2 linked regions of the Diceros bicornis minor genome follow. The protein of the gene in region 1 purifies or fractionates together with the protein of each later gene. This does not show direct contact. Links are inferred from orthologs where the notes say so. Each region holds a gene or a part of one and is shown in the gene's direction. Other genes may lie near its edges. The genes, in order: FBXL4 and BNIP3L.

Region 1 (3,916 bases):
ATTAAGCTTCAATTCCTTTTCAAAATTTTCATTTTTGTATACAATTTATACTCCATATCATGTATCAGCTCAATTCATGTATATAATTTATAAATACATATCATTACTATTTTGCCTTTTAGGGGCAATTAGATAGCAAGTAAGGTGTAGTTCAACATGTCTTCATTATTAAATGTTTTTCCATCTTAATAGAAACCTTGTAACAAGATAAAGATGATGCAAACTGAAAAAAGGGTGATATTGTATCTACTGAAAATAAATAAAAACGATTGAGTAAGGAAGACCATGAGAGCATCTTCTTCATCAGAGGTAATGATCACCGGCTTCAGAATGTTGGAAGAGAGATGAACCCGCACGGCGGATTTGTTATCTGGGGCAGAAGAGGTTTGCCAACTTGGTGATTTATGCCTTTAGAGTGCCTATAACATATTCCCCTCTTCCTCTGAGGACCTTACCACCTGTAATCCCTATGCATCACCTGACCCACCAACTCTGGATTGAAGAAGCCCTAGCAGGACTTCACTACAGGTGCCAGGCCGGTGGGAGGAAAGAACTACTCTCGCAGTAAATTTGCAACCAGTGCCCGCTGGGGAGTATCTGGCAATTTATAGGGCACGACTGGGTCTGGAAAACCAGCTGGAAGCTCCTCCCCTCGGCCTAGGAGAAGGCGGTTCTGACGCTGCGGACGGCCTCCAGCGGGGGCAGCGCCCCGCCTTCCCTCTGGCCCCGCTCCCGCCGGCCCCGCCCCACCCCGCCTTCCCTCTGGCCCCGCCCCCGCCGGACCTGCTCCGCCTCCCCGCTGGCCCCGCCCCTCCCCTCCTCGCGGCCTCTGCGTCTTCCTTCCGGGTCGCGCTGGGCCGGGCTCGCCGCCGTTGCGCCGCAGCGCGGCGTCTGGGAGCCGCCCCCGCGCCCGGGCCTCCCGCGCCGCCTGGTCTCTGGTGAAGCCCGCGGCGCGCGCCTCTCCGGGACGCTGCAGGGTACGGCCCTTCCTTTCCTTCTCCCTCCTGAGGGTCTCCCTCTTTCTCCTTCGGCGTTGGGGCGGGGCCGGGTCAGGGCGGAGCGCCGCGCTTTGGGGAGCTTGGGCGCCCAGCTGAGGTCCCTGCCGGTCGCCCCTCCCCCGAAGCCCGCGCTGCGCCGGCGGAGCTTGCTGGGGACCCTGAGGACAGCTGACGTGCCTTGGGCGCTGCTGCTCTGCACCAGCGTGTCCGCAGGGCGTGAGGCGTCGCCCCGACGTGCGCGCGGCGCGTGGGTGTTTACACGCGGTGTCTGCGGGCCCAGCTGACCCTGCTGCCCTGCGTTGGCCACCGGCCTGCCTGGGTACTTGTCGCTCCTGTGCGTGCTGCCTTGACTTCCCTCTGGCGTGGGATGGTTTTTGCCTAACCAGGCCCCTGTCCGTCTTCAGGACTGCCACAGGATACCCGGCAGCAATCTTGTTTCTATGTTTAGGGTTGTCTTGAGAGTGTAGTGTGATGATGAACATCCACTTGGCCTCCTTGTCAACATGTTGACAGTGGGAGTGGTTTTAGATTTCTTTGGTGGTTTCCCAAATGCTAACTGCTACAAAGCCTCGGGATGCATTCACTAATTGAAATATACAAATAATTAGAAAGTCGAGATGATATAAACCTGTGGTTAGGTAGGTGCGTTGGCAGGACACTGTGTCTGGCTTTATGCCCTGGGGGACTCACTGACAGCACGTCCGGGGATCTTGCTTTTTCTGGTCTCTTCGAGCACACAAGCTGTCTTGACTGCTTCCTGGCTTGCGCTCCTCGGTTTCTTTAAGTTCAGAATATAGGCACATAGTTTCCTTAAAATTCGCTTCATGCTTCTGTTGTCTTCTATTACATGTTGTACCTGGTGGTTGAACAGAGGGAGATTCTCCTGATATATCAACAATCCTATTAAGTTCTTGGGGGAAAGGGACAATGTACTTGTCTTTCTAGTGGCGATGTGTATCACCCCGCAGTAGGCACTCTGTAATTGTTCCTTGAATTGGATTCTTCTTTCCATACTTCCTTTCTGAGTACCAACTTTTTTTTTGTAACTGCTATCCCAAATTTTGGCTTTTACATTTAATGGGGGTACGTTGATTTCCTTTTTTTACCCCTTCCTTCCCCCTCCTTTAGAGTTTCTTGCCTATTCTTGTAATTTTTTTTTTTAGCTTGCCTTTCCCATAGTCAGTTGAATCATTAACCATTGTTAAATTCCTTCTCTTGCTAACTCAGAACTCGCCATGTAGAGTTGCTTCTCAGAGTTGTACATAGAGAAGCAGCTCGATTCAAAATCTGCATGCATTTTTAAATTTTGTTTTATTGAGGTCACATTGGTTTATAACATTGTGTGAATTTCAGGTGTACATCATTTTATTTTGGCTTCTGTATAGACTGCATTGTGTTTACCACCAAAACTCTAGTTTCTATCTGTCATCATACATGTGCCCCTTTACCCCTTTTGTACCCCCTACCTCTCTGGTAACCACCAATCTGTTCTCCCTATCTATGTGTGTGTTTGTTTATCTTCAACATATGAGTGAAGTCATACAGTAATTGTCTTTCTCCATCATACTTATTTTGCTTGGCATAATACCCTCAAGGTCCATCCACGTCGTCACAAATGACATGATTTTGTCTTTTTTGATAGCTGAGTAGTATTCCCTTAAATGTATATACCATATCTTCTTTATCCATTCATCCATTGATGGGCACTTAGTTTGCTTCCGAGTCTTGGCTATTGTGAATATCGCTGCAGTGAACATAAGGGTGCATATATCTTTTCGAATGAGTGTTTTCATGTTCTTTGGATAAATACGCAGCAGTGGAATAGCTGGATCATATGGTATTTCTATTTTTAGTTTTTAAAGAAATCTCCATACTGTTTTCCATGGTGGCTGCACCAGTTTGCATTCCCACCAGCAGTGTACGAGTATTTCCTTTTCTCCACATCCTCTCCAAAGCTTGTTATTTCTTATCTTTTTAATGATAGTCATTCTGATGGGTGTGAGATGATATCTCATTGTAGTTTTGATTTGCATTTCCCTAATGATTAGTGGTGTTGATCATCTTTTCATGTGGCCGTTGGCCATCTGTATATCTTCTTTGGAATCTGCAGTCTTTTGACTTGGCATTGTGTGTTAGTAAGTGTAGTGTGTCTCTCCTCATCAGCTATCACTTGGGGTATTCTTTACCTCGTTTTAGCAGCTCTACGGGATAAATGTCTATGGACGCGATCCCGGGGACAGCCTCATGTCCATTTGTATTTTACCATCCCAACTGGACATCTTAAATATAATGAATTTTCAGATGTGGCTATGATAGCTGCTTGGAAACTTTATTAGATTATAAAATAAATGTATATATTCTTTAAAAAAAAAGTCGAGTAATATAGAAATAGCCAAAGGAGAAAGTGAAAGTGTTGTGCCCACCTACCTTGTAACCTCGTTTTTGAGAGATCATCACTGTTTAATTATTTGTTCTCTTTCCTTCCAGACATTAAAAATACATGTGTACAAGTCCATATTTGTTTCATAAATGGCAGTGTATTATATAATTTTCTATAATTTCCAGTTAGTAATAATTGGTGAACATCTTTCAATGTCAGTGCATATAATATTATCTTTTTAAAGTGTTTTTGGTATTTTATTGTAGGAATAACTAGAATTTATTTAACCAATCCCCTGTTGATATTTACACTATTCCAAATTTATTTCTATTACAAACAAAACTGCAGGGATCATTTTTGTATGTATGTATCTGCATGTTTGTTAATTTCCTTAGTGTAAATGCTTAGATGTGCAATTGCTGGGTCAAAGACTATATACGTTTTAAATTATGATAGATTGTGCCATATTGCTCTTCAAAAGGTTGTTGTAAGAGTAAATTTATACCATTTATAAGAATGCTGCTGCTGCCATATCATT
Region 2 (3,916 bases), on another chromosome or scaffold:
GGAATAGATTCATAACCTTGGTGTGAGCGTATTCCCAAGCCATACAAAAATTATAGATTTGATTACACGAAAATTTTAAACGTCTGCAGAGCGAAACAAAGTTAAAAGACAAGTGACAGTCTGAGAGAAATATATGCCACATATAAATCAGACCAAGGAAACTGGACAAAGATATGGATACATGAAGTAGGTGTAGTGTTTAAGCACAAAAAGTAGTTTCGTGCTGCCCACATATAGGAAACATGGCTTCTCGTGTTATGTCCCAGAAATAAATTAGGTGATGGTATTTGGGTGATTATTTTCTTCTCTATCTTTTCCTAAAATTTTCCAATTTTTACAATGATCTCGAGTTACATTTGTAATTAAAATCTTTGAAATTCCTTAACAACAACAAAGTCTGGCCTGCCTTATGTTGTTCCCTGTTTGGAGTGTTAATGTTCCACCAGCTTTGCTTTAGTTTATGGCGGGGAAGGCAGCAGGGTTTTTGCTTCCTTTGTGTCACCATGATACCTATTACAGAAGTGAGTCCTTACAGACATTAAACAAGAAGTGCTCACGGATTGGCTAAAACAATGCTGACCCTGTAGGTGTGGAATATTTTGTTGTCAACACATGAGCACCTTACACTTCCTCATTACACACTTCTCCCTAGCCTCTAAGCCCAGTTCCAGCCGCATAACTCACTTTATCAGACCAGTACAAATAACACGCAAGAACTCATTCCTGGCGCGCGCGTCAGCGTGACTCTCGCGTCTCCACGTCCGGAGCCGGCCTGGGAACGCCCGCGCCCCGCCCCGCAGCTTGTTGTGTTGTCATCACGTGGCTGGGGCGGGCCCTGACGTCAGGGGCAGGGGAGGGACTGCGCAGGCGCAGAAAAGGGGGCGGGGGACTCGGCTTGTTGTGTTGCTGCCCGAGAACCAGAGACGGTCCTGCTGCGGCCGCAGCTCTTCCAGCCGCCCGACAATGTCGTCTCATTTAGTAGAGCAGCCGCCGCCCCTGCACAACAACAACAACAACTGCGAGGACGGTGAACAGTCTCTGCCCCCGCCAGCCGGCCTCAACAGTGAGTGCGGGCCGGCGGGCTCCGTGAAGGGGATGGGGGAGGAGGAGCTGCTGTGGCCGCCGCTGCCAGCTCCGCGCGCGGGGCGGGAGGAGAAGGCAGCCCATTGGTCCAGGCCGAGAATGTGAGGGTGACTGACAGCTCCCGTTACCTGTCAGGAGGAGTGCTCTTGTCTTCCTTTTGACCTGTCTCCCCTTCCTCCCGGGGTTTTGGGTGAGGGGCTGCTGGGGTTAGGTGTCGGGGAGGGCAGGTGGGTGGGAAGAGAATGGGGACGAGCCGATCCCACCTGTGGTGGGCCCCTGAGCGGAGCCAATCGGGGCGTGGAGGGGCGGGCCTCAGGCGCGGGGAGGGAGGGTGGGCGGAGCGGGCGGCCGAGGGGACGTGGGCAGGGATGGGGACGTGCGGCGGGGACGCCGGGGGATGGACGCGGCCGGCCGGCCCAGGGGAGGGGGCGCCCGAGGGATGGCGGGCGGTCAGGTGTGCGACGGGGCGTGGGCCGGCCCCGCTGACCCCACCTCCCTGGTCGGCCTTCCCTTAGGGCTCGAATGTGAGCCCTCTTGTCGCGGGCCTTTGTTACCGCGGGCTGGTCAGGAAAATCATTTGGTAATTTAGTGGTTACTTGTATCACAGAGAGGTGGGGTGAGGAGCCTATGCTACCCTTTTTTTTTTTTTTTGAGATTTTTCAGAGTTACTCAAGTGTCTTTTTTTTTTTTCTTTTTGTTTTTGAAGCGATGGGGTTATGTGCCCTGTAAAACTGTTTATGAACAGCCTCTTGAGCCATCCAAGATTGCACAAATCACGGAGTCTGGGGCAATGAATTTTCAGAAACAGGGATTAAAAAGACACACACACGGGCGATTGAAAGTTACTGGGCAATATTGAGTTGCGGTCAGCTACAGTTGCTTTTCAGAACATTCTGATGCCCAGACATCTTGTGCTAAGGTGGTCCCTGTTGTCTTTAGAGCTCGGAGTCTTTTTGAATACGTTCTTGCCTAACCATTCTGTAATTCATCTCATGAAAGAGGTAGTTGGGACAGTTACCATATGGCTAGATGAAATCGTTTAAAAATCATTTGGGTGCTTAAATGACGTTTAAAGGCATTGCTATGTATTTCATCAGAGGGAGGTGTTGCAGCATGGCCTAAAGATTATTTTAGGGAAGAGAGTTCCTGTCCTCACAAGATAGGGATAGAATTAGAGTATTTTAAGATGTTATCATTGCTTATTGCTGTTGCTCCATCTTTTGGTGGATAAATTTCTTAAATGTTGACTTTTTAAAACTTTTGTCTATTTTATGTTCTAGAATGTAAGATTTATATATTATTTCCCGCAGTAAATTAGGATTAATTTATGTCTTTGAATGTTATTTGCTTCACATATTAATATGCATTTTTAAATTATTTACCCCTTTTTAGCATACTCTTCAGAAGCATGGGATTTTAGAATGGGAGGAGACTTGAGAGAGAACTCGCCCGTGTTATTTACCCGTCTAAAGTGTGCTGTCCAGATTCACAGCAGGCTGGCACCTAGAGCTGAGGTTTTTACTTTTACCAGACCTAGTGCTCCTTTCAGGACACTTCAGTGGCCTAGAATCCCCTGGTTGTGTGGGTTTCTTGTTCTCTCAGCATGTTATTCCACCTAATGTACAGAGGTGACCTGCCTATCTCTTTTTAATATACCGTTTTTTAATTGTACCCAAGTGTTTTCCTATGATACTTGTGTAAGTTGGGTGTTTGGTTACCTGTGTGTACATTTCACAGAAAGCAGAGGAATTTTAATTTTCCTTTGACCATTTAACAAAAAAATGAGGTTGAGCTATATGTGATTGTTTGACTCTGAGTCTCACAGCCCTTTGAAGTATTTGATGTCCTTGGCCAATCAGTAGCTGCTGCGTGTATAACAGCTCTTACAGAAGTGGAAGAACACTCAGCCTGTGTGGGATATCAAAATGTTGCTTTGGGAAATCTGCTAGATAGAAAGTGTTGTATTTGGGGTAGGGTGAGCTTTTAAAAGTGACTGAAAAGCTTTTATTTAGTGCCATATTTCATTCCTCGCCTTTTGCCTTTTACTGGTTTTTTTTTTTTTTTAGCTCATTATACAACACTGGACTGAACAAAACAAGAAGGCTTATTGATTCCTTCAAGTGATTTTTGAGTGCGGAGCAAAACAACTTATTCAGGCATCTAATACTATCCTAATTGCTGATAAGTTGAAGTTCTTTGTTGGGTAAAGTTGCACAACTAAGAAAAACAGGAGATGAACTCATTGTACAGATTATCCTTGGCTTGGGATTTTATCTTTAGTTCAGAGGTCAAAGCAGAGTTTTAATAGCAAATTATTGAAATATGTGGAATAATGAAACCTTTCTCTGATTTTTTTTTTTTTAGTTTAGCATTGTAGGAGGACTGTACACTTTCATTACAAATTAGTGGACAAATATCTGAACTACTTCCAAAGTTAAAAGGATATTTTCCAGTTTCCAGTTGTTAGTTTTATTCCTGAGAAAACTATCAAGTTACTTAAGAATATTTGTTTTGGACATTTATGTCTTAAAATTCAGTCAGTAATATAAGGAAAATCATGGCAGTAGAATTTTGTTATTGTTTATTGTAGGAAGAACAGCCTTTTATTTTCTTTTTAAACATCTTCGACCATGGTATACTTGCTTCCCCAGTGTGGCAAGAAGGCTTTTAAGGCTATGACATGTGAAACTTCACTGCCTTGTGATACTGTTTTGAATACAAAAGTAACTGGTGTGTAAGTACCTACTTGTGCAAAAGGACAAACTTTGTTTTTAGAAGAATGTCAATGACAGTTCTTGATCTGGATTCAATCTTCAGGAACTTGAATAAAATA

What was found.
Region 2: the proteins of FBXL4 (region 1) and BNIP3L purify together in Homo sapiens (affinity purification with western blotting; 4 studies listed by BioGRID, with this or other methods). This does not show direct contact. The link is inferred for Diceros bicornis minor from reciprocal best matches to the Homo sapiens genes FBXL4 and BNIP3L.

What each region holds. Positions count from the first base shown.
Region 1 is NC_080762.1:34,882,869-34,886,784, forward strand, and holds the start of FBXL4 (F-box/LRR-repeat protein 4), read left to right. Parts: upstream 1-906; 5' UTR 907-977; intron 978-3,916. UniProt on the Homo sapiens protein: Substrate-recognition component of the mitochondria-localized SCF-FBXL4 ubiquitin E3 ligase complex that plays a role in the restriction of mitophagy by controlling the degradation of BNIP3 and NIX mitophagy receptors.
Region 2 is NC_080750.1:67,540,349-67,544,264, reverse strand, and holds the start of BNIP3L (BCL2/adenovirus E1B 19 kDa protein-interacting protein 3-like), read left to right. Parts: upstream 1-891; 5' UTR 892-963; coding exon 964-1,063; intron 1,064-3,916.